2 linked regions of the Rattus norvegicus genome follow. The protein of the gene in region 2 interacts with the protein of the main gene of each other region in a biochemical or structural test. Links are inferred from orthologs where the notes say so. Each region holds a gene or a part of one and is shown on either strand. Other genes may lie near its edges.

What was found.
Region 1: of the proteins of Usp33 (region 2) and Arrb2, one has a biochemical effect on the other in vitro, tested with the Homo sapiens proteins (2 studies listed by BioGRID, with this or other methods). The link is inferred for Rattus norvegicus from reciprocal best matches to the Homo sapiens genes USP33 and ARRB2.

What each region holds. Positions count from the first base shown.
Region 1 is NC_086028.1:55,644,303-55,659,929, reverse strand, and holds Arrb2 (beta-arrestin-2), read right to left. Parts: upstream 14,329-15,627; 5' UTR 14,251-14,328; coding exon 14,228-14,250; intron 11,524-14,227; exon of another isoform or gene 11,498-11,523; coding exon 11,467-11,497; exon of another isoform or gene 11,124-11,466; coding exon of another isoform or gene 11,073-11,123; intron 10,855-11,072; coding exon 10,794-10,854; intron 10,690-10,793; coding exon 10,645-10,689; intron 10,459-10,644; coding exon 10,262-10,458; intron 10,163-10,261; coding exon 10,103-10,162; intron 9,718-10,102; coding exon 9,650-9,717; intron 9,515-9,649; coding exon 9,376-9,514; intron 9,148-9,375; coding exon 9,063-9,147; intron 8,789-9,062; exon of another isoform or gene 8,766-8,788; coding exon 8,693-8,765; intron 8,450-8,692; coding exon 8,312-8,449; intron 7,608-8,311; coding exon 7,524-7,607; intron 7,444-7,523; coding exon of another isoform or gene 7,427-7,443; coding exon 7,347-7,426; exon of another isoform or gene 7,274-7,346; coding exon of another isoform or gene 7,241-7,273; coding exon 7,186-7,240; exon of another isoform or gene 6,951-7,185; coding exon 6,857-6,950; 3' UTR 6,445-6,856; downstream 1-6,444. UniProt on the Homo sapiens protein: Functions in regulating agonist-mediated G-protein coupled receptor (GPCR) signaling by mediating both receptor desensitization and resensitization processes.
Region 2 is NC_086020.1:243,957,257-243,973,691, reverse strand, and holds part of Usp33 (ubiquitin carboxyl-terminal hydrolase 33), read right to left. Parts: intron 15,268-16,435; coding exon 15,165-15,267; intron 13,555-15,164; coding exon 13,485-13,554; intron 11,101-13,484; coding exon 10,987-11,100; intron 10,550-10,986; coding exon 10,471-10,549; intron 9,191-10,470; coding exon 8,773-9,190; intron 7,165-8,772; coding exon 7,024-7,164; intron 3,691-7,023; coding exon 3,578-3,690; intron 2,347-3,577; coding exon 2,177-2,346; intron 2,079-2,176; coding exon 1,984-2,078; intron 908-1,983; coding exon 874-907; intron 1-873. UniProt on the Homo sapiens protein: Deubiquitinating enzyme involved in various processes such as centrosome duplication, cellular migration and beta-2 adrenergic receptor/ADRB2 recycling.

The sequences.
Region 1 (15,627 bases), on a different chromosome or scaffold from region 2:
TTGTTTTTGTTTTGTTTTTTTTTTCGGAGCTGGGAACCGAACCCAGGGCCTTGCGTTTGCTAGGCAAGTGCTCTACCACTGAGCTAAATCCCCAACCCCTCTCTCTTGTTTTTTAAGATTAGCATCTTTGGGGGCTGGAGAGATGACTCAGCAGTTAAGAGCACTGGTTATTCTTCCAAAGGACCCAGGTTCAATTCCCAGCACTTATGTGGTGACTCACAACTACCTGTAGCTCCAGTTCCAGGGGATCCATTCTGGCCTCTGTGGACACACATACACTCAGGCACACACACACACACACACACACACACACAGAGAGAGAGAGAGAGAGAGAGAGAGAGAGAATATAAATGTAGCCAAAGAAAAGGCCATTGAGAAGCAGCCCAGGAGGCTTACTTGTACCTCTGGGATGAAGGGATGAAAGAGCCCATTAAAGGCCCCATGTAGCTGAGGAGGAAACCAGACCCACGAATTAGAGCACCAGGCTTAACCAAAAGGCACCTAGGGAAGCTTCCAGAAAAAGGAAACTGAGGCAAAGGCTGGGCAATTAGAATGGTGTGGGGCCTCTTAGAAAGAAAGAAAGAAAGAAAGAAAGAAAGAAAGAAAGAAAGAAAGAAAGAAAGAAAGAAGGAAAGAGAGAGGGGGGGGAGGAAGGAAGGAAGGAAGGAAGGAAGGAAGGAAGGAAGGAAGGAAACAAACAAATAAATACAAAAACTTCAGAAAAACCACCACCACCACCACCACCACCACCACCACCACCACCACCACCACCACCACCACCACCACCACTCCATTCCCTCTGGCTAGAATAACCTTCCACATTTGAGGGAGAACTGGCTGGGAATCCAGAATTCCACACCCCAGCTGCATTGGCGTGAAGACTAAAATGCAAAGACACCGTTTTTCCCATCGAACATTTGAATGTATTTTTCTCGTGGAACAGTTAGGTGCAGGCGGTTAGTTCCACACACTCCACAGGTCACACGAGGGCCAAGGCTTTTGCTGCGGTTGCCCTCTAAGGTCTTGCCTGGGTAAGCTCATAGTCCTGGATGTCAGCCTTCCCTAGACTCATTAGAGACATTGTCTTAGCACCGACCCCAGACCAACTGAGCCACAGGCTGTGTTTAAAGGTCCCCAGGTGACTTGTATGCACAATAAAGTGTGAGAAACCCTGGTGGGGGCACTGTGTGTGCCCCCTGAAACCTGACTTTCCCCTGCTCTGGGCTAGGACTGCAGGGGAAGAGGAAGAGGAAATTGTAGAGGACAGGGAACTATGTGAGGAGTCTGGCTGGGAAGTGACTCATATTTCATGAAGGAAGCTTAGCCATGTGCTTTTCCCTACCTGTGGAAAGCGTAGGCCTTTCCTACATGGCCAGCTATTGGGTCACCTCAGGAGAATAGATCTTGGGGGGTATCTAGGGATTCACAAAGCTGAACTCTCAATTAGGAAGACGGAATAAAGACACTCTGGTCTGAACAAACTGTCAGCTTTCCTCAGTGACGAGGCACAGGTCCAGGTCATTCGTGAAAGGTCCCGGCAACCCCAGTGCAATAGGAAGAGTCTGGACTGTAGACTCCTGGGAGAGAGGAGTACAAGGTGAATTGTGATTAAACTGGAGAATAAGCATATTTCAAACGACCATTAAGCATGGAAAACAGGAGGTGATCACGAAGGACCACAGATCCACTATAAACCTTAGCAGAGGCATAATTCAATACTCAACATCGATCTGACTCCACCTGATACAATCCTCAGGGGAATGGGCCGGGGGCAGGGTGAATAGCGTCACACGATGATCAGGAGGCACAAAGATAGGCTCAGCCTTCACCTTCTGGCAGGTTTGTCCCCTCTGAGGCCTGCATCTATAAATTTATCTTCAAATGTGGCCTACAAAACCATAAACTTACTTAAACCATTATGAAATCTAAAAAAGCCTTGTCCCTCCCATTCCTCTTCCTCTCTTTTTTTTCTTTTTTGCAATTTTTATTTTTGCAATTTTTATTTTGCAACTAAAAATTTTGCAGTTACAGCATAGTCTGAGCATGAGCTTGGTGGATGATGGCACCATGTCGTGGCATTGGAGCCGGGCATCTGCTAGGTGATGCTGAGGGCAGAAGTCAAGAAGGAGCAAAACTATCGTGTTCCGAGATAGGGGTGAGGGTGAGAGGGGTAGTAAATGCCTTCAGAAACATTTGAAGGACGAGGGAGAGAGTTCCCTCTGAGGAGAAAGAAATCAGGGGCCTGCCTTATCTATTTATTTTCGGTTGTTGTTTTTGTTTAAGACTCTTTCAGCCACCAGGCTTTAATCTGCAGGCTTTAACCTTTAGTCCCAGCATCCAGGAGGAAGCAGAAGCAGGCAGGTTTATGTGCGTTTGAGGCCAGCTTAGTCAACATACTGAGTTCTAGGACAGCCAGGTCTATGTGTTGAGATTCTATCTCAAAGAGCCAAATCAAGCAAAGCGAACAGACAAAAACCAACCAAACAAGCAAACAAAACCCCAACCTCAAAACCAAACCAAATCCAAACTCACACCAGTGCCAGATACAGTAAAGAATATTTCAGCACCATACGATGCTTGTATGCCTGTGGATAAACTCAGGGTCTTGTATGTGTTAGGCACTCTATCCCTAAATTCCATCTCCAGTCCTTATCTACCTCCTTAAAAGATCTGTGTTTATTACTTTGAATAAAAAGTAAAATTTAGGGGCTGGAGAGGTGGCTCAGCGGTTAGGAGCACTGACTGCTCTTCCAGAGGTCCTGAGTTCAATTCCCAGCAACCACATGGTGGCTCACAACCATCTGTAATGGGATCCAGTGCCCCCTTCTAGTGTGTCTGAAGACAGTGACAGTGTACTCACATACATAAAAATAAATAAATCTTAAAAAAAGGAGGAAGAAAAATTTTTTCTTTTTCTTTTTTTCTTTTTTTTTTTTTTTTTTGGAGCTGGGGACCGAACCCAGGGCCTTGCGCTCGCTAGGCAAGTGCTCTACCGCTGAGCTAAATCCCCAACCCCCGAAAATTTTTTAAAAAGTAGCAATATTTAAAAAATAACCAAGCATTTAGAAGGCAAAGGAAGGGGAGTTCGAGGCCAGCCTCAACTACTTGTCTCAGAAAAACAAATCAAGGGGCTGGAGAGATGGCTCAGCAGTTAAGAATACTGGCTGATCTTCCAGAGGACCCAGGTTTGTTTCCCAGTGTCCACATAGTGGCTCACAAGCAGTGGTACCCTCTCTCGTAAGGAATCCAGCACCTTCTTCTGGCCTCCATAGGCACTGAATGCACGTGGTACACAGACATACATATAAGCAAACTACCCACCCCATACACATAAAATAAAAATCAAGGTCAACAACAACAACAACACACCAAAGAATCAGACCAAGCTAAAAACAGAAAAGTATCACTTCTCGGCCTTTTGGCTAAGACCAAGTGTAAAAACAGGAAAGTGAGAGAGGAAATCAAGATATACTTTCTGGGAAAGAGACTTCATAGTGGAGGAGAGGTTTTGTTTTCTTCCCTTGGTCCTCTCTCCTTTCTTCCTGCTCCCTGCAGTGGAGGGGACTTGTACTTGTATGGCCTGTTTATTTTCCTTAGAGGATGAGCCAGTAGAGACAGACGAGAGGGTCTGGGGTGGTTTGATGAGTCAAGGTGGAACAGGAGACGGGGAGATGTGAGCAGAGAGAAAGACTGGCCTTGCCCTAGGGAGGCACCTTACCCGTCCTATTTTAAATTGGTGTCTAGATCAACGTGTAGGAGTAGGAGGTAGGATGCTGAAATCATTCATTCCTTTTTAGCCTAATCTTGGGAAAGGAAATGTCATTCACCATGAGGCAGGCGTAAAAATGGTAACATTGGAGCAGAAGAAGGGCTAACAGAGCTATTAGGCATTGAAGGCCCAGCCTAGGTTAGAGAGCAGCACTTTTTAGTGGTCTTAGATCTCTACTCAGGGCTCAGCGCCATGTCAGAACCTAGGATGTATTCAAATATGTTTGTTGAATGAGCAAATAAGGGTGGTCATATGACTCCTTCTTTGGCAGCGTATCCTAACCAGCCACTCAGCCTGGTGTTAGAACAGAGGTAGGGGTGGGTGGACAGATCCAGGGGTGAAGGTGAAATTGTGCAAAGAGGAGAAACTGGATGAGACAGTGGTTGATAAGCTCTGGATGTGTGTAGTGGAAAGAAAATGAAGTGTTTATTCACGAGCAAGAGGAAGGGTGAACGGCTCGGTGACAGAGCAAACTAAGATGCCAGTTAGAAAAGGGTAGGAAAAGTTTACCTTCAGATAAAAGTGTAGCGTCGTTAATAATAAATAACAAGAGTGTTTCGGAACTAGATAAAGGTGAGAGCTGTCCAACAATGTGGAGATCTCGAATAAGGCAACCCTGTGTGCTTTAAATAAAAAGGGAATGTGAGGGGCCGAAGAGATTTGCCCTGTGGTTAAGAGCACTGACTGCTCTTCCAGAGGTCCTGAGTTCAATTCCCAGCAACCACATGGTGGCTCACAACCATCTGTAATGAGATCTGATGCCCTCTTCTGGTGTGTCTGAGGACAGCGACAGTGTACTCACATACATAAAATAAACAAATAAAGTAAAAAAAAAAAGCACGGGGTGGATGCAAGCGGAGCTTCAGGAAAGCTCTTGCAGGTAACGATATCAACTGAAAGACACAGCAAGACGCAGATGAGCTCATGGTTTGCTGCCTTCTGTATTCGGTTGAGACTGAGCACACAAGGCCTGTGTACGTGAGACTCAGTGCGAGGAACAGTCTTTGAATAAACAAGGCACTGGTTGGTGATGGTGGTGGCTGGTAGGAAAGAGAAATTGGGGTGGGGAAGAGGACCGAGAGAGTTGGCTTTTCACTGTTTATTGTCTTATATGGTTCAGTTTTTTTTTTTTTTTTTTTTTTTAACCCATGTGCTTGGATTACCTCCCTAAACAGCACTGAAAACATAAACCCCCCTTTTAAAAACAAGGCATTCTTCAACCCATAGTCATGGGTTTTCCACTAGCTCTTCTGACTGAGACTGAAGGGCCTAATCCTGGATCTTTATCTCTGAGTCTTCTGGTGAAGCCTGAGAGGTCATAGAGCTGGGTCACAGGAGTCAGAGAGGCTGGAAGCAAAGACTTAAAAGGAGTTAGTCCCTTTGTGTGACAAAGCCAGCACGGGTAGGGGACATGGCCTGTGATAGGGTGAGCGCGGTCACTGGCATTGGGTTTCTGGCCTGTGGATAAATGATGATTTAATTACCATTTCAGAAGCTTTACCATAGACCAAGGCCCATGCAGGCTTCCCCCATTTGCCTCAGAGAAAACTCCCGTACTTCTTGGCTACTCCAGTCCCTGGTCTGAGTCTATTCACGGCACCTTCTGGCCTTTACACTGTAGCTTTGCTGTGCTCCAGGTTTTCCCTGCACATCCCCTACCTCGTTTTCAGTTCTCTGCTTAAAGGTTCCTCTAGAGAAACCATCCCCAACCCCAACCCCAACCCCAACCTAGATCGCCATATGCGCATTCCAAGTTCCCATCCTCCCTGGGACACAGAGTGCAACTAGGGAATGAGTTAATGCTTGTATGTCCCTATACCATGATTGGCATGTGGTAGGGATGTAGGTCAAGACTGTTCACAGGATGGAGCCTTTAGAAAGGTGTGCTGGCTGGTTTTATGTCAACTTGACACAAGCGAGAGGAGGGAGCCTTGATTGCGAAAATGCCTCTGTAAGATCAGACTATATAGGCAGGCCTGCAGGGGTTTTTCTTAAGTGACTGATATGAAAGGGCCCAGCCCATTGTGGATGGTGTCCCTCCTGGGCAGGTGGTCCTGGGTTCTATAGGAAAGCAGGCTGGACAGATCATGGAGAACAAGGTAGCAACACTTCTCCATGGCCTCTGTATCAGCTTCTGCCTCCAGGTGCCTGCTGTTTGAGCTCCTGTCCTGACCTCCTTCAATAATGAGCTATGATGTGGAAGTGTAAGCCAAATAAATCCTTTCGAAACTCCCATGTTGCTTTGATCATGGTGCTTTATCGCTCCAATAGCAACCCTAATTAAGACAGAGAGGTTACTTCCAGGAGTTGCGCTGGATGATGAGAAATGTCTGTTGAGTGTTGCTAACTCCTTCCCCCAGCCTGGCTTTGGCACATACAGTCATGTCGAGGAACCTGCCCTGCCCAGCTCAGGAGCATCGAGTCTTCAGGGAAGTTAGTTATTATTTTCCCTGTAAAAGACTAAGTTTACTTTGTGGCTTTACCAGTCTCAATCGCGACTGTGTTCCGACCAAGCTGAGTTTCAATATTTACCTTGGAACACAGGCATAGCACAGTCATCCAGTAAACATTTATTGATAACCTGTGTAAGGTACCCTGCAGATGTAGAAAAAAGCATCATCGATGGGGACACCATACCCCCTTTAAACTCCACTAAGAAAACACATACACGTTCATGCCTATTAAAAGGTTTATTTCTTCCCTATGCTCAGAAACGAAGATATGGCCTTGCTGGTCCCTCCCCTGAAATCTCATCTTCAAGGATTGGGAGGCAGAAGTGGTGACTGGGAGTGGGTTGGTATGAGGCCAAACATGGGTGTCCTTTCTACTCCTTTTCTCTACATTCACTCCTTGCTTTCAGTGTTCCCTTCCCAAAACTTTAGGTGTGTACACAGCTTGCCACCCTAGGGAGCAGGGCTGGGGTGGCAGAGCTGAAGTCAAAAGATTAATGCCCACTTTCAACGAGTGATGGGTCCAGTGTGTATCTCGGGTGGACGGACGGGGAAGGAGGAGAGGCTGGGACCCTCCTACCCGCAAGGGCAGTGGGACCTCAGTCCTGCCCACCCCTACCTCTCCCAGCCCCTCTTCCTAGCAGAACTGGTCATCACAGTCGTCATCCTTCATCCCCTTCAGCCGAAGCCTCGCAAAGTCCTCAAACACGATGTCGTCGTCTGTGGCATAGCTTGGTGACAGTGAGAAGGAGATAAGGTAAAAGCTTCTATAATCACAGAACCAGAGGGGTTCACAAGGGACCCAGGGCAGTAGCCACAGCCTCTACAAGCTGGGCCATCTCACTGGATAGTTCCACCACTTCTCCCACCAGAAGGAAGCAACCCATAAAGTAGGAGGGTGGATCTGAATGGCATGGGAATCTCTATCCTAGAGGGTCAACAAAGAAGGTAAGGGGTGTTTCTTACTTGGTATCGAATTCAATGAGGTTGGTATCCACAGGGATGTCTATTTCCCGGGGGGCTGAAGGGCAAAGAGGGGATAGGTAGAGGGGTGCTAGGACCATCACTTCCCCACTGACCCTGCTTCAGCTAATCTTTGTGGGGCTCAGGGTGTGGTCAGTACTCACCTGACTGGGGTCGGGGAAGGGTGATGTGGTCGTGGGGCTTGGGGTGCATTAGGACGAAAGGTAGCTCCACGGAGACATCCCTGGGGAGGGAGAGGGGCTGCATGAAGAGGACAATTACCACAACCCATGGATCCAGAGAACCCAGTGACCCTGCCCAGCCCTGACTACTGTACTCACCCGCCTCGAGACACCACCAGCTTCACCTTGACCCTGTAGGATACTAGGATTCCCAGCACCTCCTTGTTGGCTCCCTCCTTCACACTGCATTTGGGAGGAAGGAAGCTGAGGTCAGGGATCCAGGGCTCCTGAGGCACCAGCTATGCAGCCATAGCAATACAGGCTCATGGTATCCTCCATGCAGAACCTCCTGGGGCCTCATCTTTGGGGCTCACAGGGGTGCTTTGATCTATGGCACAGCTCCCTTTATCTATTTCTCTTTGTGTCTCTTCTCTCCATGTGGGCCTATGTGCTAGTGACATACGTACCCGGTGCAGAGGCAACACCAGGTGAAGCTCTGGCCTTTCTAGGGCTACACGTGCCCAAGGTCATAGTGACACATCACAATTCCTCATGCACACTGGGGACCATCCCAACTGTCCTTAAGCTTGGAAGTCTCTCTGCCTAGAGCCATCCATAACGCCTCCTTCCTCTGGGTCCTTCAGTGTTCACCCTCCCTGGCCAGTCTATTTAAAATCAACACAGCCCGCCCCTTTCTATACACTATCTGCTATACTCTATCTTTCATACTTTATACTGTTCTACTTAACACTTGTTCCTAACGTGCTATCTAGTTTACCACTTATCTGATTGTCTGTCTTCCCTCCCTTAGAATGTGAGAAGTTTCTGTCATTTCTGTTCACTGATACCTTCCTGGCACCCAGGACAAAGCCTGGCACTAGGCCTGCTTTGAACGGAAGCCCGTCCCCTGGCCCCTCCCCCCTCCCCCACCCCCCTTCTCCCCTCACATGGTGCTGGAAGCCAGGTTGGTGTCTTCGTGCTTGAGTTGCCCATCAAGGGCAAGGCCACGCTTCTCTCGGTTGTCACTGAGCAGCGGGGTTATGGTGTACACCTTGCAGAATGTGGAACTGGGAGACACCTGGTCACTGGGGGTTGGGAACAAGATTGTTGGAGAGACTGGGCTAGGGGAGGCTCATCTTACCACCCTCAGGCAGTCTCTCCTCCCTCACTGTCCATTAGGGCACAGATTATGAGAGGGTAGGTTCTGGTTCAACCTGTTGGGAGATAGTCAACAGCTTGGTGCCCCCTGGCTATAGAGAGACACCCTTAGAATCCTGCCTTCTCATGTTTTCCTGGAAGCTTGGGTCCCACCCTTGACCCTTACTCACTCTTGTTCAAGCTGAGCCACAGGACACTTGTACTGCGCGGTGCTGAAGAGGCAAATGTCGGCATACTGTCTCACTGTGGGGTAGGGGACCAAGTGGCTTTGGGTGAAGTATAGACAGTTACTGTACCACAATTCCCGACCACATGCTGGAAATCCCCCTGGGGGCAGCCCCATGCCCCCTTCCACCCCTGGCCAACAGACCTCCTATATTAAACACTAGGGCTGTATATTATTCTGGAACAGACTAAATTCTTTATGGCTTGGTAGGTTTCCTACAGTGGGTTATGGGCCTAGGCTGACATAAGGGCAGCAGAAACCCTTATAAGTAGGGACTTCCTTCCCCCATCCCAATGTCCACTCCCGCCTCCTACCAGACACTCTGATCTTCTTGACGGTCTTGGCAGAATTGTTGGTGACGTGGACGTTGACATTGAGGGGTTCCCCATGGTAGTACAGCTTTGGAAGGGAGGGGATTGCATAGCTTGTAGCTGGTTTTCACTGACCCCATTCCCTTGGCCTGCTCCATCCCCAATCCAGCCCATAGCACCTCTACCCAAGTGAGGCAATTGCCTTATTAAAAGAAAAAACCTTCCTAAACCACCATCTTGCCTGTGGTTTCACCCCTCCCCCCCAACAAGAGTCTGGCCTGCTTTGTGACATCTTTGTCACTCTCTCACACCCTACCTCTTTGTCCAGGGAAGCCTCTAGGTGCAGGGACCTCCGGTCAGACATGAGGAAGTGGCGTGTGGTTTCAGCTGATGGCTGGGGGCCGGGTGTCTCAGGAGCAAACTGTACCTTTCTGATGATAAGCCGCACGGAGTTCCTGAGTCAGGGGTTGGAGGAGGGGAAAGACTTAGGTGCAAGATAGCACAGGCCAATTCGGATTCCTACCCCCCACCAGGATACCTCGAGGATGGGTGGAAGCGGTTAAACCAGAGAGAAAGAGAGTTGTTCTTACCTTTTGTGGCTTTTTTCTTCTATAGATTTGGCACAGAAGGCTCGAATCTCAAAGTCTACTCCACAGGCCTTGGGAAGAGGAGGAAAGGCTGCCGCTTACCCAAGTCTCCTGGTACCACATCCAACACACCCCCTCCTTCCTCCCCGCTTAGTTCCTCTTGGTGTGGATTTTTGCCTCATCATGGAAACAGAGGGACTCTCTGGCCCCACTGTCTCTCTCTAGCTTGGCAGCTGGCAGAGGCTGGCTCATGGCAGTGCACGGAGGAGCCACTATACCCAGCAAGGTACATGCGGGTCAGAGAACAGATCTGGTGACCACACCATGCACACACGTCCATGGGGATACCTCCCTGTCCTCAAGAGCCCACTACACTTCACCCTCCCGCTCGGCTGCGTCTTGTGCATCTGCTGAGCCGGGTTCTGTTCACATACTGTTGAGTTGTCCCTTCTGTACCTTCCCTGTGTCCTCCGGTCCTGGCTGCAGTGTGACGGAGCAAGGCAAATTCTGGGGTATCTGTGGCAGAGAAGAGGAGGGGTTTCAACTGGTAACCGGCGTTTCATCCCATGTCAACCCCAGACCCCTTGCCCTGCAGGAAATAGACAGTTTCCTCACTGTGAAAAAAAAGGGGTGGGCATGCTGGCCCAACTTCTTCAGCAGTCGGTCCTGTAGGCGGGTGGGGGGCCGAGGTGGGTTGGGCATGGGGGGGAAGGCCTGGTAGGTGGCGATGAACAGATCTTTGCGGAAAGACAGGCCCAGTACATCCAGGTCTTCTCGGCCATAGCGGAAGGCACAGGTGAGGGTCACAAACACTGAAAAGTAAGGGTAAGTTGGGGTGATTAGGAGTAACCCCCTTTCTTCATGGTATCCACATCCTTCCTCGGAATAACAGACTTCCCAGAATCCTGCCCCCAGCTTCTGATTCGTCCTTCCTTTTCTCTGTTACCAATGCCAGCCCATCTAATGTCTTCTTCTCCCCTCCAGCATGGGTGCAATACCTTTCCGGTCCTTCAAGTAGTCAGGATCCACAAGCACCACACCATCTAGGAAAGGGAGATGCATTCATTTTCTGAAGGGGGCCATTCCCAAACTCAGGCACCACCTCCCCTCTTGGAGGATTGTGCTAGCCCCTTCTAGGCAAACTTACCGACAGGATCCACTTTGTCCAAGTGATCCACAAAGTCACGCTTGCCCAAGTACACGGTGAGCTGAGGATGTCAAGGGTCACAGGGAAAATTGGGGAGGATGGTGGCAAGCCACCAGAGTTCTCAAAGATGTCTACCCTATCCTGGGCTCCCCTTGGCTGGGTTATCAGGAAGGAATTTCTCCCAGTATTATTGGATGGTAAGAGTGGTAGGGTTTTCTAGACTACTCAGTAAAACTTTTGTTTAAGCTTTTACCTGCCCGCATTGGTCACTTTCCATACCTGTGCCCACCAACCACGGGTAGGTGTAAATGTGTATATATGTGTTCCCATGTCTTCAGGGAACACTCAGTCAGACCAGGCAGTTAGCAGCTGTCCCCACAACAGGCTCTGAGATAAACGGGCCACTGCCTGGGGAACTATTAACTTTTCCTAGCCCAGGCATCTTGCGTTGGTTCCTAAGAGAGTTACAAGCTAGCTTAGGAACCAAGCCCAGTCTCCACCCAGCCCTGTGGCTTCTTCAGACTGTGGCAAGGGGCTTAAGGAGGGAAGGAAGTCTGCTTTTAGCTGTCACAGGAAGTGGGGAGCTAAGGGTTGGGGATCATCTAGGGGTAGGCTGGGCTCTGATAGGGCCCAGGGAGGATCAAAGGGTAAGCAAGCATCGAGGGAGACTCACCTTGCAGTTAGGGCTCGACTTCTTGAAGACCCTAACAAAACAGAAAGGAAGACCCCACTGCCTCCCTTAGGCTGGGCAGGGACCACCACGCCGGGATTTATCCCTCCCCCCAGAGAAATGGAATTCACCCTGGATCCCTGCTCGACCCTTCCCACTGCTTTTTTTTACTGCTTCCCACCGGTATTTGAAGCCTCTTGAAGCCAACTGTCAGGCCTTTCCTCTTTGCTGTTGATGTTACTAACTCACTCCTCCGCTTATAGTAAATGGCCACTGTTTGCCCCAGCCAACTATTCAGGCTCTCCTGAGGGACCCTCTCCGAAACCAAGAGTCAACTGATGGCTACACAATGTCTGGGTCACACCTAACACTCCTCCCTCCCTTTTGACCTTGGCCTTAGTATGTAACTCTGGCTAGCCTGGAACTTGACTTGTAGACCAGGCTGGCCCCAACTCAGATCCATTTACCTCTGTCTCTTTGGTGCTAGGATGAAGGGGCACGAACTACCACACTCAGATGAACTCTTTAACTGACCTCTAGCTTCAAGGACTCACACAGTGACTCCTGGAGCAGAGTCTTTGCCCCTCAGATGTTTCTGTCCCCAAGTCTGACTATTTCATGAACCTCCAACAGCCCCGTTTCTGACCTCAGCAGCTTAAAAAAAAACAAAAACAAAAAAACCCACTGTGGTCCCCACACAGTAGCATCCTGTGACAAACATGGTGATTCTGGCTAACATTGACTGGTGACTGCTGTGTTCTAGCACTGTACCAACTGCGTTTACAGCTCTTATCGCCCAGTGACAGAGGCTAAAAGACCCCGGCTTTACGGCAAACAAGAATTTTGTCAAAGGTCACAGAGAAGGTACAGGGTGGGACTCGGATATAAACCTGAGGAAGGCACCCTGGTTTCAAGACCCTGTTCTCAACCACTAAGTCGTGAAGCTCGCCTGTCACAGTTTGTCAAGTCTAAGGGGATTTTTCTGTACAGACACTAGAACAACCTAAGTCTAGACTCCACCCACGGCTAGGAGGATAGGAAACTGTCTAGTGACCCCAGAGCTCTGGCCATTCCTTGGCTTGTTCTTCCAAGAACAACTCTACCCCTTCTAAGGCCTTTTGGCTCCGGAGCAATTCCTGAAAGGGCCCCCAGATAACAGGCTGAAAACTGCCCAGAGTTCCATCCTCCCTTCAACACACTATGTGAGTTTCTGCTTGGAAAAACCACTTGTCTCCTCCTTCCCCAAAGCCAAGCTGCCCATACATCACTGGGCCACACACACTTAGGGTCACATGGCATATACATAGGCTGCCCTAAGTATCCCCAAGTAATAAAGGCACATTTGGACATGGTGGCGGTTAGAATAATCACTCTAATTTCTGTCCCAATTAGGGCTGACAGCTTGGACATCACCTAGGTTGGCTCTTTCTCCTACTTCTGGTTTCCTCCTGTCTTGTATTTTCCCCCACTGGGAGCCCTGGCAGAACCTGTGACGACCACACAATCATTGTATCTCCGTCAGTTGCCCTGCTCTTACCCAGCCATGGTTAGGGAGGGCGCAGCGTGCACAGTGTGCTTGGCCAAGAAGGCAGAGCAAGGGAATTACCAGGGAGGTACCCAGCTTGGAGGGGTGCAGCTAAAGCAGATGCCTCTTTGTACTTCCTGCCATTCTCGCCATTTCCTCTGGCCCAGAATTTGATGAGATGGTAGGGAATTATGCCAAGTCAGCAGTCTTTCTTTGGTCCATCTATTCCCTCCCTGAAGTACTCAACGGAAATTTGGGGGCCTCCCCCCCAAGTAAGTGACTTCTCCTTTCTCTGGGGTTTAGTTTAACCTCAAATCTAGGAGGTCAATCTTCCCTGTAAGCATCTCTCTCAGATATTGGTCTTCTTAATACTTAAGGGCAGTGGGAGTGGTGGGGTTGGTCTCATGTTTTGCAGAAGTCACTGTTCATAATCAGGCCCTTATCCTTGGTCCTCTCTGGCTTGAGGCACATGGCCCCAACCTATTATTTAGTTCTTGCTCCTTTGGAACTCAAGTATTCACCCCATGTCCTCCTGGGGGTGTTGGGTCACAACAGGAAGTGGATTTTGCTATAGACCAAAAAAGAGAACTCTGGTATCAGTGGAAGGAAGGAGCCTCGATTGCACAGAAAACATCCGGGGAGAGGATGTGTGTCCAGGGCAGATACTACCTCTCTCTCTCCCCAGGACAGGAATAAAGCCCAATTTCAGCGAGGGTCCCTATGCACTCTACTCTCTCAAGAAGCTGTTGCTCCTAGCAACCTAGGAGAAGGCAGAAGTTTGGTAGCAGAGCTATCCGACCCTTGGGACAGGTGGGAGCAATCAGACTGTGGGGTATTGGGCAGGAGGCTTTCCATTGGTTGGGCACGAGTCTAGGGGAATCCCTTCCCAGCATCCAGTCTCCCAGCACACAACCCCTCGGGGCCGGCCACCTGCTCCTCCTTCCTCCGCCCCTGCATCACAGCCTGCAGAGAACCCAGTAGTCCGACTCCTACATCTCTGTGAGAACCCAGGCGTGGGTTTCCCGATCTCTATCAAGTCTTGCTTTTTGCAGGAGCCCCAGCACGCACCCCCACTCCAATATCCTCAAGGACCTAGGCTTGCGGCCCCGGACAGCTACCCTCTAGGGACCCAGGCGTCCGGCCCCGGGGTTTCTTCCCCGGTGTCCTTGTCTGTGGATCAACCTGGCACACTCCGCGAGCAGCCGCCCATGCCCCGCGGCACGGCCCCACCTCCCTTACCTGGTCCCGGGTTTTTCACCCATGGTGCGCGCGCGCTCGCCGCCCTCCACCCGCCGGGTTCGCGGCTCGCTCGCAGCCTTCTCACCCGCTGCCAGGTCCCCACTCCTCCCCGAGTCACTGCGCACGCGCGTCCTCACTCTTTCTCCTCCTTCCCCTCCCCTCGCGGTCTGGGTCTAGGGGAGCTGGGGCCAGCTGCGTCAGCCGGAGCCCGCGCGCCGCGGCGCAGCCCGCCCTCTTCGAGCTGGCTCCGCCCCACGCCTCCGCCCTCAGTCTCCCTCGGGGAAGCCTCCTCGCGCCGTCCCTACTCTCGATCTCCCCGCCCCTCCTCAAGCCTTTGGAACTAGATTGGGCCCCTTAAAATGGAGGCGGCCGCCTTCGAGAAGTTTAGAAGCAGCTGATTGGCCGTTGGTATCCATAGCCCTGCAGGGATCCCTCCCCTTTGTTTGCTTTCACTGTAGCGGAGGAGGGACGGGATCGAGGGGGCGGTGGGAATGAGCTCAAACACTGTCTGGGTCTGAGCACCAAGGGGCTGCCCACGTGGGTGAGCCGTATCTGTTGCGTGATGATGCTTGCTTTGGTATGCGCTGCTCATCCCTGAGCTTGCAGCCTTGTTTGGCCTACCTTTCCCGCGTTCTCGTGGTCTTCAGCTCCCCCTGGTGTATTGTCTTTGATTTTTTTTTTTTTTTTTTGCAGTGTCACTTTAAAACATTCAGACTTTGTCATCTCCCTTACCGTCTATCCTAGCCATCATTCACCTACTCCACTTATCTCTTCCATTCTTCATCCTTCCCTCCCTGCCTATTTTGTGTAAGTCACTGTGCAGAGCCATCGGGACAACATCATGGCCTAAGTTTCCTGGGATCCGTGAGACATATAAAACAGGTATTATGCTCCCAGGAACGCTATAATAGATATGACTCAGACCATCAAGCAACTAAAAGCCTAAAAGCGCTTGGCCAGCGTGGAGGAGGGAGTGCAGTCACTCCATAGCATAGGAAATTTGAGGACAGCCCTTCTGAAGGATGGACAGAAGTGGGGAAAGGACATCCTAAAGATGAGTAAGGAAAAGCACGCCCTGTTCTAAAATGTCTGTGGGTTAGATGGCAGGAGGTAGAGCTGCGGAGGAATAGAAGAGACGGTGGAAGACTGTGTATAGCAGGTGAAAGAAAGAGCCCGAGGAACTGTAGTCTTTATTTAATTTAATTTAATTTAATTTTCTGCTAGGGCCTCACATATGCTTAGCTCACCACTAATTCCAGCCCAGTGCTGATTTGATTGGGTTTTGCTTTCACCAGAGGAATGTCGAGATAGGACTTCTCTTTTTGGGTAACGTGTCGCATAGCGAGACCGCTCGCTAGAAGATAAGCTAGCCGAGGGAAAATGATGAACAGAGAGTGGAG
Region 2 (16,435 bases):
TTAAGAGCACTTACTGCTCTTGCAGACAGGACCTGGGATCAGTGCCCAGCATCCACATATAGATGGCTCAGAACCATCTCTAATTCCAGTTTCAAGAGTAGGTGTTGCCCTCTCTTCTAACATCCATGGGCACTGGACACTTACATGCTGTACATACACACATGCAGGCAAAATATTCATACACATCAAATAAAAATTAAATCTTTCAAAATATTTAAAGATTCAAGCTTTTCTTAGGAGCTCATTATTTTTGTATTACAGAGATTCTGAAATTTTTTTCAATTTCCTCTACATCAAAAATACTTGCTTTTATCAAATCTCTACTCCATTTTTCTGATATCACAAACAAGTGTTTTATTGTTTATTTCCTGTAGTTGTTGACTTCTAGCTGCCTGGAACCCACTATCTAGATCAAGTTGGCAGCTTTCTGTGCTGGGATTAAAAGGCGGGCTCTAACCACACCCAAAAGAGGTTTTGAAAAGTCAAAATTATTACAAGATAGAAAGGGGGGCTGGAAGTAGATATAAAGAAAACAAGGCCTAACTATTCTGTTCTGCGCCCATATCAGCAAGCACTGTGAACATAGGGCAACCTCTCTGAATGTTCTACACATCTGTACCTTTCACTTCCTTGCTATGGTGCGTTACCATAGCAACCTGAAAAAGTCACTTTGTTTCTGCAAACTCACATCCTTCATTCCTTAAAACCCTCACATTTATTAATATATTAGATGAGGCTATTAAAAATTTACTTTAAACATGTTTTACAAAATAACCAATCTGAATTTTCCAAAGCATCAAGTCCATGTGCTCAGTTCAGATATCCAAGAAAAATACAAAATACGAAAGTGAAAATAATGTCGTTGTTACTCACTTTTTGCATTTTTCACAACTGTACATATTATCACCTGCAGACAGAAAAGATCTAGTCATTCAGCCTATCACCAGCAAACTGTTCTGCAATTCCCAGATGTACCACAGTGACCAGCTGGTGACATTTACTTCCCTACAGTCACCACCCACTCCTCCTCTCCTTTCATTTGATGGACTAATTGAAGAAGCAGTCACTTCATCTAGTCCTGAACAGAATTTACTATATCCTGTTACGTGCCCAAGCATGGTGCTGGGCATCGAGAAAAGTGCAGAACTGTAGTGTCAATTCTCGGATTCTGATTTCTTTAAAAAAAAAAAAAAAAAAAGATATTATAAAAATGTTTTCATTTGAATCCCAAGTACTGGACATGCTGTTTCAGACCGTCCACAGCAGCTGACTGTAAGTGGCCTCTTGCTCTGGAGGGGGCATGACTGTCAGCTGCACGTATTTCTGCAAGTGTGTAACATTTGGAATCCCGAGACTTTTCAGAGGATATAAAATCGCTAGGCCCCTAGAGGTGGGAGGTCTGTTGGTAAGTTGTTTGGTTGTTCATTACTGTTGGTCATGCAAAGAAGAAATGAGAAAAAGAAATTAGATGTCCTGACAGCAAAGATCACACTTGTTCCAAGGAACTGAACATCCTAATCAGCAGGAAGCAGAAGTAACAGCCCACCCCCTTTCTGACCCCGGACCTTATTCAGGGATCTCTTTCCTTTCCTCTCTACTCTGTTTTCTCTCTTCTCTAGTGTTAGGGCTGGTTTGAAAGGGAAGAAAAACGGTAGAGAAGAGTAGAAGGCAGAAGCCACAGAGTAGGCAAGCGCAGCTGCATAGGACCGTCACTGCAGGTGCAGCTGTGAACAGTTCAAGGCGCATCTGCACCCATCATCTTCACAGAATCCACCTTCTCAGAATCACAGAACGTGAAGATGTCTTGTTTTGTATTATAGAAATCTATATAAATTCCTTCAGGGCAGGACTTTTCTAATCATATTTCAACTGCCACTGAAGATTCCTCCACCATGCAAATATGAACAAATACTATTTAACTGTCCGAAATGAAGCATTGGTTCACCTACCAAAGTCAGTCATAAATGCGATCGTATTTCTTACCTTTAAGTTCATCTCTGGCGAAGAAGGCAGCAAGACAATCTTGCAAGGTTACTACTGGACCCCAAAACCAGCTAGGGACACATGAGACAACAAACCTGAAACATCATTGACAGGAGAGAAAGGAAGTGTTCTGCTAGTACAGCAGAAGCAGCAGCACCAACCATCAATCCAAGCAAAGGAAATAAACACGCACCTCTTCACGTACTCCATGAAGAAAGCTATCCACCCCTGTGGAGCGTAGGCTTCGCCACACGACCCTGCTTTGACTATAGTTGGGTGACTGGAGGAGTGCAGCTTAGCCAGGTCTTCCTTGCCAGGAATCGGCAAGGACAGATCCTGAAAGGTCTCGAGGGTTACAGACACCTGCAAGTGTTTGGTTTTAACAGGATGGAAAGAATCCAGGACAGTTATTTACAGGGTTAGATTTCTTCCACATATGAAAGCAAGCTATTACTATAAGCAAATATAAATACCAACAGCTTTAGAATACTACACATAGAAATGAGTCCACTTTGTACCAGGTACTGTTCCAAATATAATCTTCCTACGAGTCATGAGTATTTCTATGGCTCAGAGAAGCACAACAAACCCAGCTACGGGCAATGGAGACTGACATTCACGCTCCTTTCTAGGAGTGTTGAGGGACTAGGTCTTATTATACACTGTACCATCCAAACTGTTCTCAAGGCATCCTCTCCCCTCAGCCTCCAAAGTACATGAAACTGCAGGCTGTGGTAGAGTGGTAAGGAGAAAACCAGATCTGGCATCAACCAGCACTTAACAACAGGGATGCATCATGGGAGATACGCTGCTTCAGGCAACCATGGAGTAAATACCACACTAAGATGATTACAATACTCTGCTAACAGAATCTTCCATGACAGTCACATGCAGTCTGTCCTTAACTACAGCAATACACATACACTAGATAAAACGTTTCGGGATAATACACCATCAGTATGAAAATGACCCTACTGAGTGCCTACTGAGTGACTTAACATTATAACACAATAATTGAAAGTTGATTTTCTCGTTTCTTAGACATGAGTTCTCATTCACTAAGCATACTAATTACTGTATTTCACTAAAATGAAAAAATTAAGAAATCTTAATTTTTTCTTTTCTGAAGGATTTCTTTCTTTCTGAAGGATTGGGTGTTAGTCAACCCTCATGAAATTTGTTTGAGACAAAACCGTGTTTGTGACTTTGGTATCATCACTGAAACACATGTATCATTTACAAGCCACCTGCAAAGGCAAATGTAAGAATACACTCAACTGCCATTTGCTTGTGAATGCAAGTGTTTCTGGGCATACCTAATTTCATCAGCCGTGGGAGAAGAAGCACTGTTAACAATTCTTGTTGCCAAGTAACTTCTCACCTTTATATGTAACCAAAACAGACAAAGAGCCCGTGGTCCTGCACAAAGGATGTGGGCTGTACTGTTACTCTACATCTCAACTCAATGTATAACTAACAGACACACAAGAAATGTGTGGGCTGCAACAGCAATGATCTATTTAACTCTTCCCATCCTTAGGTTTTTACAAATAACACTGGACAGAAACATCCTGTTACGGTTCTCCATACTCACCCTATCACACGTCAGACACTGTACTGAACTAATGATTGTCCCATCAAATATGTCAGAGATGACACTTCTGTACTTCTTATGCTGCTTTTTCCTCTTTGGAGATGAAGACTGAGCTAGAATTAAAAGACAGAACATTAGAAAGAATCAAGTTCGTTCCTTGAATATTTTTTAATTGTTTTGGGATTTTTGTTTTTTGAGGTAGGATCTCGTGTAGCTCAGACTGGCCTCAGGTTCACAATGATTCTGAGACTGACTCTGAATTCCTGGTCCTCTTCCTTCCATCTCATATGACACTAGATTAGAAGAGCAGCGCGTGTGCCGGCTTTCCCTAGAATATTTTCCTTTTTCAGTTGTACTTATCTATTACTATGTATGTGTATGTGTCTGTTGCATGTACATACGGTGCCCATGAGAGCCAGAAGAGGTACTGGATTCCCTGGAGCTAGAGTTAGGGGCAATCTAAAGCTACCCAATATAAATGCCAAGCACTAAACTCTACACACGGTCTTACCCACTGAGCCATGCTATACTCCGCCTACAAGATGCTCAGTAGGTAGAAGCACTTCCTGTCCATCTCAGACTTGTTTGATTCCCAAGACCCATATAATGGAGGGAGAAAACCAACAGGTTCTCTGCTGACCTCTACAAGTATGCTGTGGCATGTGCACCCACACATACACATGGACACAAACACACAGGTCAATAAACATAAAAAATAATTACTGTACTATAAAAGGAATTCAGAAAACCACCCAAGATTACTGCTTTAGGGCTAGAGAGATGGCTCACTTGCTGCTCTTCCAGAGAACCAGGCTTTGGTTCCTAACACCTACATAAGGCACCCACCCATCCCACAACTGTGTGTAATTCTAGCATCAAGGGGTCCTACATCTTCTGGCTTCCATGGGCACCCAAGCACATGGGGCATATACATAGAGAAACACACTTATACATGAATAAAAATTTAAAAAGAAATTCTTTTTTTTTTTTTTTTTTGGTTCTTTTTTTCCGGAGCTGGGGACCGAACCCAGGGCCTTGCGCTTCCTAGGCAAGCGCTCTACCACTGAGCTAAATCCCCAGCCCCGTTAAAAAGAAATTCTTAAAGAAAAAATTAGTGCTGAGTGTTGGTGCATGCCTTGAATTCTAACACTTGAAAGACAGACATAGGTGGAGCTCTGAGCTCAAGATCAAGCCTAGTGAGTTCCATGACACCCAAGGATGCACAGTAAAACCTGTCTCAAAAACCAAAACCAAGAAAAAACTGTTACTTTAAACAGATAGAAAAGCCAATCAAAAATCAAATAAGGCTTCAGCTGGCTTTAAATTACTTATGATTTTTAGTCACATAAAATGTACATAGGGAAATACGAAAACCATCTGAAATTAATTAATAATAATAGTTAACAGCACAACACACTAGTCATTTGTGTCCCATGTGCACAGGATGTGCTGGCCCCATCACTGGAGTATTTATGGACCACAAAGCAAAAAAGGTGCAACTGGGAGAGGCAGGTGAAGTCATGAGGACAGAGCAGCAGGCCCGGCCTGCATATTATCCTTCAGAACAACATTCCGACTGCACTTCCTGTTAGTGAGCAGTACTGGATATGCTCCTCTGGCTTGTCCACCTACAAATACTTCTTCCCAATCCTACCCTTTCTTAAATCTCAATAAAGTCCTTTGCCAAGACTCACTGGTTCTTTTACAGATGGTATCCTTATTTTGTACATGGGATTGTATGTACATGAAGTATGGAGGTCAGAAGACAACCTGAAGTTAGTTCTTTCCTTTTATTTCTGTTGTGGGTTCTGGGGATCGAACTCGGCTGTCCAGCTTATACAGCAAGCACTGCTATCCCCTGACCCACCTCTCTACCATGTTTTCATGTCTGCTATCCACTGGGAGAAACCCTTTAAGGCCTCCAGCTGTTTCTCTGTTCACTGCTTGTGTGAGACAGGTTCTCATTATGCAATTCTGACTGGCCTATAATCCCGATAAACCATACAGTCCTTGGACTGAACTCCACACAGATCAACTTTCCTATGAGCACTGGGATTAAAGGCACGCACTACCACATGGTGTCCTCTGTGAGTTTTATAGTTTTATATTTTATAGTGCTAGCATTTTGATACAAAGCTGGCAGCAATGCAGAATGGTACAGACATTCTGAAAGAGGCAGGTTTGTACAGTGGTGAGCATAAATGAACATAAAACCTAAGAGATAGAGGCTGCAGAGATGGTTCAGTGGTTAAGAGTACTAGTTGCTCTTCCAGAGGACCTAGGTTCAATTCCCAGCACCCACATGGCAGCTCACAACTGTCTGTAACTCCAGTTCAAGGGAGTTCCAGTTCCAACACCCTTATGCAGACATACATGAAGACAAAGCAATAATGTACATGAAATTAAAAATAAATAAATAATCTTCAAAACCCAGGAAATATAATTCTAAGACCTTATCTCTGATCAAAGAAAAACTTAACATCATACAAAAACTGTATATGTTTCTAACAGTATTATTTATAACTGCCAAAAACTTAAAACAATTCAAAAATCCCTTGATGAGTGAATAAACAGTGATTTGGTGACAGAAATTAAATTCAACTTGGTAAGGAAAAGAAAGTAGCAAGACGTACAACAATGCAGCCAACTCTTTTTTTTTAATTATTACTATTATCATATACAAGTACACTGTAGTTGTCTTCAGACACACCAGAAGAGGGCATCAGATCTCATTACAGATGGTTGTAAGTCACCATATGGTTGCTGGGATTTGAACTCAGGACCTCTGGAAGATCAGCCAGTGCTCCTAACCACTGAGCCATCTCTCCAGCCCAATGCAGCCAATTCTTAACTACATTGTGCTACATGAAAAAAGGCTGCTTTTTAGCATGGTACTGTGTGGCATCATTTACAGGGCACTCTAGAGAAAGGGAAGCCATCAGGAGTCTCCGGCCTTACAGACACATTAGGACCAGAGTATCAGTGTGGCAGGCCTGAGGGGTAGGATGACAATCTGACCATGGAACTGCAGGACAGAATGGGCTGAAGGGCACAGGAGGTTTAAAAGGTGAGTAAAAGAGAGGGCGGACTAGAAAGGTTCTGCAGTTAGGCATTCTTGCTGCTCTCACAGGGTTCGCTCCCAGTAGCCAGGTAATGGTTCATAACCATGCTTCAGTTCCATGTGATCTCATGTCCTCTTTTAACTTCTGTGTGCACATGGGATGCACATACATACATGCGGGTAAGATACTCAAATACAAAATCATTATCTTAAATTATAAAAAAACCAAAGTTTAAAGTACAGAACCACAGACAAATGTCCTAATCACGGTCACATAGTTCTATCAACTGTACGAGAACACATAGTCCCTACCACTTCATCAGCATCAGTAGCTCAAACTGGGTAAACACTTCAGAGTTAGGAACTGAATTATGGGTACTTTTACCTTTCTTGTGTGGAGGTGTCAATCCTGGCCACAGATTGCCTGACTTAGGAGGACTTGCTGATAAACGTGGATTAACACTTTCATTTGATGGAAGGATCTGTGGTGTAGATAGGTCATTCAAATGGACATCAGTGATATATTCTGTAATATTTAAATTTTTATTATTACCTTCAATTAAAATTATAAATGAAACTACTCAGTAAAGTTATACCCCACGTGCACAATAATGTTAATTAACATAACGATTCCAGGCACAAGTACAATACACATACAATACATATACGTACATGAAGCCAAAACACTCATACTCATAATAAATACCAATTTAATTAAGACGACAGGAGAAAGCTCTCAAGCATAAGTAAAGAGGCCAGCCGAGCCCTGCTGCTGAGAGCCTCCATTACCTTGCAGCCCAAGGCTTCACAGGCTGGCTCATCCTTCCTGCTGGGGACAGTAAGGACTTTAGGTTTTGTGTACTCCATGGTCTTAGTCATAGTTTTTCATCCAGACTTGAAACACAAAACTCTGAGACCTACTTTACTTTAGTAGCTAGTTACTATATGTTCTTTTTTTCTTCTTTTTTTTTTTTTTTCTTTTTTCCGGAGCTGGGGATCAAACCCAGGGCCTTGCGCTTGCTAGGCAAGCGCTCTACCACTGAGCTAAATCCCCAACCCCTAGTTACTATATGTTAAGAACAAACCCCACAAGCAAGTAATAAAGGACCAGTGTGTCCCTGAATCATGCTTCCCTTGGCTTTTCACAGGAACTGACATTCAGGCCCTCACTGGCTAAAGACCGTATGTCCACAGTGAGTCTGTGCAGAGCCTAAGCACTCCTGACTTTATGTCCCTGGCAAGCACAAGTAAGCCTCCATTTTCCTAAGCTAAAGAAATACTGTTCAAGGCAGAACTGTGATGCACTCAGACACTTCACTGCCAGGATTCCCTTCAATAGTCCAGAGATTAACTTTCTGTCATTTCCTGGCCACTAAGTTGCACAATCTGACTTTCTAGTCATCTAATTTTATAGAATTTAGAGTAGTCAATAGCACATCAAGATAGGGTAGCTCCTAAGGAGAAAAATATGGTGTGTAACATAGTCCAACTCATATCTTTCATTTGGGTATTTTCCTTCTTGAAAGGAACACTGTCCAATACAGTGAGCCTTAACAAAGCTCATGCACACATCAGCTCCGTCTACAGTGCAAACCACTGGGTGCCATAGCACGATGATAGGAGATCATGGGCTGTGTTTCAAATCCTCAGGATCTCAACAGAATTTGCTTGAAATAAAAGGGGAAATTCCAAAGAGACTAATTTTCTAGACTACTATGTAACCATAAAGGAATCCTAATGAGCTCTGCTATACCAAAATAAAATAAAATAAATAAAATAGAAAAAAAATGAAGTCCTAAGTAAATGATCCACAAAATTATCTTACTTTTAATTTCCTAACTTGATGATTTCACTGAACACTGCAAGCAGACAGTGTTAAACTGCAAGTCTATTAAAACTCCCAAAAGCCAGGTGTGGTAGCAAATACCTTTAATCCCAACATTCAAGAGGCAGAGGCAGCCAGAAGTGTTTGAGGATAGCCTTGTCTACACAGCACATTCCAGGACAGCCAGGGGCATACATTAAGGCCCTGCCTAGTAAGTAAACAAATAAACAAACAAACAAATGACTTGTTCCAAAGTGACAGTCTGCGCATGCCACACGAGCACTGCACAGTCCGAGTGTTAATCGTCACCTGAGGCTCTGCCGTGTATCTGCACCTTGACGGTCTCCTGGCTGTTTAGGTCAACTGTTTCACACACCGTGTCTCTGTCTTTATCCGGTTCTCCGTCAGAATCTGCTTTGTTGCTCTTGTTGCACATCTTCTCTTTTTGCCAGTCTTTGGCCATCTCTAGGTCCTCCTCATCCTGAATGAGCATGGTGGTCTCAGTGCTGTCTTCAGGGCCGCCCTTAGAGACACTCTCATTTTCCCCTTTCTCACTGCTGCTGCTACATGACTCGCAGGACTGAAAATCCACATCTGACTGGCTCTTCTCTTCCTCCACTGTCTCCTCAGAAGTTAGTGCTTGAGGCTCTTCCTCTATTTCCATGACCTGCTCCTTCAACTCTTCATGAAGCAGATCCATTAAACAGCGAAGGAATTCCTGGGCATCCTAGCACATCAACAAAACCACATTACCTTCTAACGCGAGTGCTTGTCGGAACCTAAGAGGCGTGAGTGAGTGAACTGTGGACATATCACGTCACACTGACTAGTCTACAGCCCATACTGCAGCAGACCTACAACAACAGATTCCAACAGCTACGCAAACAAAAACTATGCTTTGTAATGAAACTGGATGCAACAGAAAATAAGGATTTTCCTCATATGATAGTCAGAATTTGGAAATATGCCCTAAAATAAGTTATTATGGAAATTGGTTTTAAGTAAGTTTTTCTCATCCATGGACTGTATCTCAAAGAAAAATTGTCCATAGATCAACAAGAACTTTTTTGATGATATATTTCCTGAGCTGCAAAGAAGTTTCAGTAAAAGTGATTACCATGCAAGCCTGACCACCAAGTTCAATCTCTTAAGCCTGCTGTGGAAAAACAACCCACTCCACAAAGTTCTTTTCTGACCTTTAGACATGTAGTGTGGCATGTGTACACTGCCCTTCCTCATGCACACAAGTAACATTAAATAAAAAAATTTAAATTCCTGAGCTCCAACCTACAGCTCTAAATTATAATGTCTGGAGATCCAGAACTTTATATGTTAAAGGTTAATAGTGAATAAGTAATGGTTTGAGAAAAGAGAAATGTGTGAGGACCAGCTATAAATTGTCCAGGGACTGCAGACCACTAAAGTAACGGAAGCTGCCCTATGACAGTGAGACAGCACAGTGAGAAATCACAAGGGTTGGTGCAGGGGGAGAACACTGTTCACTCACTGGAGCCACAGAAATGCAAAGACAAACAAACAGCCAGGTGTGCTGGAGGCCCCTCTGTCGTCCCGGCACATGAGAGGCAGAGAAAGAACGATCAGAAACTTAAGGCTGTCACACACAGAGAGGCCAAGACCAGTCAGGGATACAAAAGACCCAGTCTCACAAGTCCAAACACCAAAGACAAAGGCACAATGATGAAAAAGGACAACTGGGAAATGGAGTGTAATAACTCTCTCTCTCACTGAGGGTGACCGCAGTGGACACAGCGCAGCTCAGCAGTGAAGAGCACTTGCTCGTCAACGACCCGGCTCAGTCTGCAGCACCCATGTGCTATGGCTCACGGGCCCCGGAACTCCAGTTCCAGGCAACCTGATGCCTTCTTCTGACCTCACCAGGTATCAGGCACGCATGGTGCACATACATAAACACAGGCAAACAAAGTCATACAAAGAAATTAAACACATTTGTTAAAAAGTTTAAGGATTTTTATATGGATAACTAACCTGCTGAGAATAGCCTCGAAAAGTTGGATTTACAGTTTTAATTCCTTGGAACAGATTAGCAGGCACAACAGATCCTGGCCTGAAAAATAAAGTTTTAAACAGATACTTTTGTAGTTTTAATTTTTTTTAAAGAATTTTATTACTCTCGCACTGCACAATATTTTTCAAAAATGCAACTTCATAAACAGTTGTAAAGCAAAACTAACCTAATACGCAACTAATGACCAATATGCTAAGATATGGGTGGGGCACGGTCACTGGCAGAGCAGGCAGCTGGCCTGGCCTACCCTGCCCAGTCTGGGAAGGCTCTGCTGCTCTGCACCTCGGCAGTGAGGCTCCATAGCCTCCACATAACCAGCTGATGTTGACGATGGCCTCTGCTCCATCTGCATTTCAGCTTCAAATGACCCAACTCAAATCTCCTTCCTGCGTTTTTTTTTTCAACCCTCCAAACATTTCTGCTTTCATTCCATACTTATAATACTGATTTAAGACATAATTATATTAAGTACATACCTGCTCTTGTGCCACAATTCTGTCATTAGTTTGAGATAACTTTTACAAATGGCTGGTTTCTTATCTGTTCTAGCCAGTCCTCCACAATCAAGAAAGAACTGTGTCAAAGGTGGGCTAATTGAAAAGAGAGCAATAGCAGAGTGGAATTAAGGCTGAGTTCTCATTACTTTCTAATTACACAATGATTGACAGCACACATCAACCTCTCTGTTAGGTCTTTGCCCCTTTATGGTCTGACAGTCACTCCTTTATATCACTAATAAGTTTAACAAATCATTCTTGGACTCACCACGTCAGGGTCCTCTGTTTCTGAGTGCTGGGATAAGAGGCTTGAGCCTTGACCCAATCTCTTTCTAAATTGGTTTTTGTTTTTGTTCTTTATTAAGAATCTGAGCAGGGAGGCACATACCTGTAATTTCAGCACTAAGCAGACAGGGCCAAGAGGAACACACTGAGCTCAAGGCTAACCTGGGCTACACAGAGACCTGTCTGAAGTAAACAAGGAAGGAAGGAGGTATGGAAAAAGGCAGAAAAGGACTAAAAGAGGGTGAAGAGGAAAGACAGGGCAGGAGGGAGGAGGGACTGCTGTGCTGCTGAGGCTGGCCTCAGCCTCTTCCTGCTTACGTAAAGCACAGAACTAAGCAGATCCCAGTAAACACTGCTACTGTCCTCCTCGTGCAGCCTCCACCCCTAGTGTTCTTTCTGTTCGGGTGCCCAGGACTCTGACTCGGGACTTTACTCTTTCCTGGGCCATCTTCAATTCCCACAAATACACCAGTGTCGGCCACATTCATGTTAGCCTTCAGACACCTTTCATCAACTGAATTCTTATCAAATGCTCAAACTGACCACTGTCTTGATATTTTAATCTAACACACTCAGAATTTTACTTGCAAGTGAACCTGATCTTCCAATAATCTTCTCCGTTCTTTTTTTTTTCTTTAAAGATTTATTCATTTATTATATATAAGTACATTGTAGCTGTCTTCAGATACACCAGAAGAGGGCATTAGATCTCTTTACAGATGGTTGCAAGCCACCATGTGGTTGCTGGGAATTGAACTCAGGACCTCAGGAAGAGGAGTCAGGGCTCTTAACCACTGAGCCATCTCTCCAGCCCAATCTTCTCCATTCTTATTACCAACATTATGTATGCATATGAGAAAGACAGAGATAGTAAGACTCAGAGACTAAGAAACCTTGCTGCCCTTCCAAATGACTCCTTCATCAAATGATTCTACTATTAAACTTCAAATCTCCTCCCTTTCCCAGTACTCTAACCATATCCTAGCAACCACCAACTGTAAAAAATGTCTTTCTCGGGGTTGGGGATTTAGCTCAGTGGTAGAGCGCTTGCCTAGCAAGCGCAAGGCCCTGGGTTCGGTCCCCAGCTCCGAAAAAAAGAAAAAAGAAAAAAAAAATGTCTTTCTCCAATTCATCTACTCCAAAATTGTGTAAGGTACTCTTACTTCTTACTTAGATTATTATACATCTTCTGTTTTTCCAAATTATACTTTTTCCTACAACCCACTATCCACATGGCAACCAGGGCTGCAAGACAGATTCCTCTATTCCCCTGCTGTAAAAGGACTTTGGTAGTCCCTTACCACACCTGAGACCTCAGTTTTAATGTGGATTGCACATGGCCCTATGCAATTACTCCACAATTACTATGTCTGCCACCCAGATTTTCTTCCAGGTTCTCAGTGTCAAACTCTTTCCCAAAGCTATTTTCAAACTCAAGTCATGTTCTGACAAAGTAATAATCACCCTATTTATATGCTGCAAATGGGGGTGGGGTGGGGGTGAATGCTCTCTATTCAAGGGATTCTACCAGTAGAAACATACTTTCATATGATTTTTCACCTAAAAATGATCTGAGAATGTGACAAATTTAAGTTCTTTGGTTTTCGTCCATAAATACACTTGCTAGAGATATTGTTCAGTACAGCAGTGTGCTTAAGGGCCCAGGGTTGAGGCCCAGCATTGCAAAAACTAAAACCAAGGACATACTACTGGAAGCCTGAGCTGGGATCCTCGGTCTTAGAAAACTACAGGTATTAACTGTGCACGCTATAGATGCTTGCAGTCCAGGACTTGAAATGTGGTAGCATAAGGACCAGGTTCAAGGCCATCCTCAACTACACAGTTGGAGGCCAGCCTGGGTGAAAATAAGACACTGCCAAGAGAAAAACAAAATAATAAACGTAGATGCACACACAGCAATCCCACTGGGACAACGATGTCTTCACCCAGGTTCTTGCCTCTCTGCTCTGGGAGTTAGTCACCTACTGTAGTAACAAGTTATCTTAGCTAACCTTATACTAGACCTGAGTATGGTGGGGTACATGTTTAGTTCCAGTACTCGAGAAGCATATCCCGTTGGATCTCTGAGCTCAAGACCAATCTGGTCTACACAGCAAGTTCCTGGACAACCAGGGGAGTTGGTGGAGCAGGAGGAGAAAAGGAGAGAACCCAATATTGGTCTCACTGCTTACCAGTTAGAGAGAGCTTGCAGAGCGGCATTCATATAGCAAGTATTTCCAATGTTTTTCAAACCTGTCAGGCCTGTGCAGAAGAAATATTAAGTCATCATTCAATAAAACATGAATCACTGAATTTTCTTGGTGTTTATTAAGAACAATTTCAAAAGTTAAAGCTATGAAAATGGGCTGATAGTTGACTAGCAGAGCATATGTATACTGTGCATAGAGCCCTGAGTTAAATGCCTAGTGAGCAAACACACACACATTCACCACATACAGTACAGGAACAACTTTTAAAACACAGAAACATGGAGACACAGGGAAGCAGCCTGAACAACTCAGAGGCCACACTGTTGGAAATCTCTCACTCTCCAATCTTTTAAGCTTTAGATAAATTCAAGGATTTGTTAATTTAACCTAGAAGTTTGCACTTAAAAAAACTTTTTCTACTGTTATGTAATGACAAATGCATAGGGGCAGGGCAGGGGGGGCGGGGCTCACAATGACCAGGGTCTCATTATTATCACTACTGCCCTGGAACTCACTCTGCAGACCAGCTGACCTTGAGCTCACAGACATCTGCCTGCCTCTGCCTCCCAAGTACTGAGACACTACCAGCTTAAGAATATAGACTATATTTTAAATAATCTGATTTAAGATTACAATTCTCATTCCTCCCAAAGCCCAAGTGAGAAGTCGGCCTGACCCTGTGATTGGCGTGGAGTGCCAGTGCCTTCCATAGGCTGTATTTACTTTGTCCAACGCACTCTATTTTTCTCAGTTCACTCCATCATTAAGAGAGAAAATAGAGGCTGACATCACAACACAACAAAAAAGAAACAATGACAAATATTCCAAATCTAGAATTATAAGCCAGGTGTGGTGGTGTACACTTTTAATCCTGGCACTCAGGAAACAGAGGCAAGCAGATCTCTGTCAGTTTAAGGTCAATCTGGTCTATATAGCAAGTTCCAGGACAGCTATAAGTACGTAATGGAGAAATTCTGTTTCAAAGAACACAAATTTAAAAAATCCTAGGGCTAAGGATATAGCTCATGGAAGGATGCTTGTCTGATATGCACACAGGTCCTGTGTTCCAAGAACTCACAGAACATCCAATGCTTACTCACATTAAATACTGTGAGCCTCAAAACCGTGGGAAATCCTGATACACTGTCTCCCAGTGTAGGAGTTAACAGTTTTGTGAACAGGGCAAAAGGACCTCTAGAACCACCTGATTCTTTTTCCAAATAATGCTGCCCCTGGCAAATTCTTGTCTTCCTTTTTTTCTTTTCATTTATTTTTTTTTTCTTTTTGTAGATGAGGGTAAAATAAGAGCAGCGGAAGCTAACCTCTGCCCTCAGCCTCCTGAGCGCTGGGCCACAGGCATACAGTCTGCCAAGGAAGCGACTTCACATCCCCCTAGCAACCCTTCCCTGGCAGGTGAGAACTCAAAATAACATTGGCAGCTAAAGGCTCCTAAACGACAGGGCGCAGTCCAAGTGTGACAAATCAGGTTTGCATTACCTTCAAACACTGGCCCACAAGGTCCAACTTCTCAGTTCTGTTCTTAGTTATCACCTCTAAGCTCTACTAATAAAGCTTTGTACTTTGAGCTTCTCATTATGCAGTTCTTAATGAATGGGCAGTGCCGTACAGAGTGGAGTGGTGCTGACAGGAGCGAGCCTTTACCTCTAGCCTTCAGCTCATCTTCCTCTTCCACTTCTATATCCAGATCTTCAAATACAGCAACCAGAGGGGTTTTCAATGCTGTATTACTGGGTATTTTAAAATCCTTAATAAAAAAAAGACATAACAAACCTGAATAAATCCTTAATCAAAACATACTTTAACTTACATAACATCTATATCACACAACTATTAAAAGATATTACCATAACAGCAGAGATTTGCCAGCATGGTGGCACATGCTTGTAACCCCAACACTCAGGAGGCACAGGCGAAAAGACGAGTTCAGGCCAGTCATGGCTAGTAAAAAGTTAGAGGGCAGCCTGAGCTACAGAAAACAACCACAACAGCAGGGCTAGGAAGCTGGCTTAGTGCTAAGAGCATGAGAGGACCCTGATTCTATTTCAACACCTACGTCAGGTGGTTCTAACTGCTGCCATCTGGCTCATGTGGATCTGATGGCTTTCCTGGATTCCTAAGTACACTTACATGTACACACCCACACTCCCAAAATTTTAAAAAGTAAAATGTAACAGCAGTAAAGATAGAAATAATGGTAATCATTACAAAATTGGCATTTATGTTTTGTAGAAAATGGGCTTTATTTCTGTGTGTGTGGACCTATGTGAGAGCACACATGTGCACAGCTGCAGAAGGCCAAAGCAGCAGGCCCAGAGCTGGAGCCACAGGCAGTGCTGACTCACCCCGTATAGGTGCTGGGAACCAAACTCAGGTCTTCTCCAAGAGCAGCAGGTACTCTTAACCTGAGTTACCTTTCCAGTCCCCAAAAAACTTTCCAAAAAAAAGTCCCTTCAAAAAGTAACATTTCTGCATTTCAGCCCAAGAACTAACTTTATCTAAATTATGATATGCCTTGTCTTTTACAATCTCTTAATTTCTATAGCAACACAGGGTGTGACAGATAAGCTAATCCACAGACTCTCACCGCTTCTCTGTATGAGTTTTATACATGCACTCACAGCCAAAGGCCTCTTCTGTAGATGAGAATCGGCCACCTTTGCAAACGTGTTTACGTCTCCTAATCCACAGGACTAGGTTAGCCCTGAGTTAGCTATGTTTGAGGAGAGAACAGGAAAGGGGCTGTATTCACACAGGCCATGGAGGCCTTCCGCCTTCAAGACTTAGATTCACAGAGACTTTCACAAAAGCCTACAGAAACCCATTATGTTGTAAGCTAAGTTTTACAGTGTCTCTTTAAAAAGGAACTTGAACCTAGGCATGCTGCCTGGATAGATAAGTCTCACCCAGAAGAT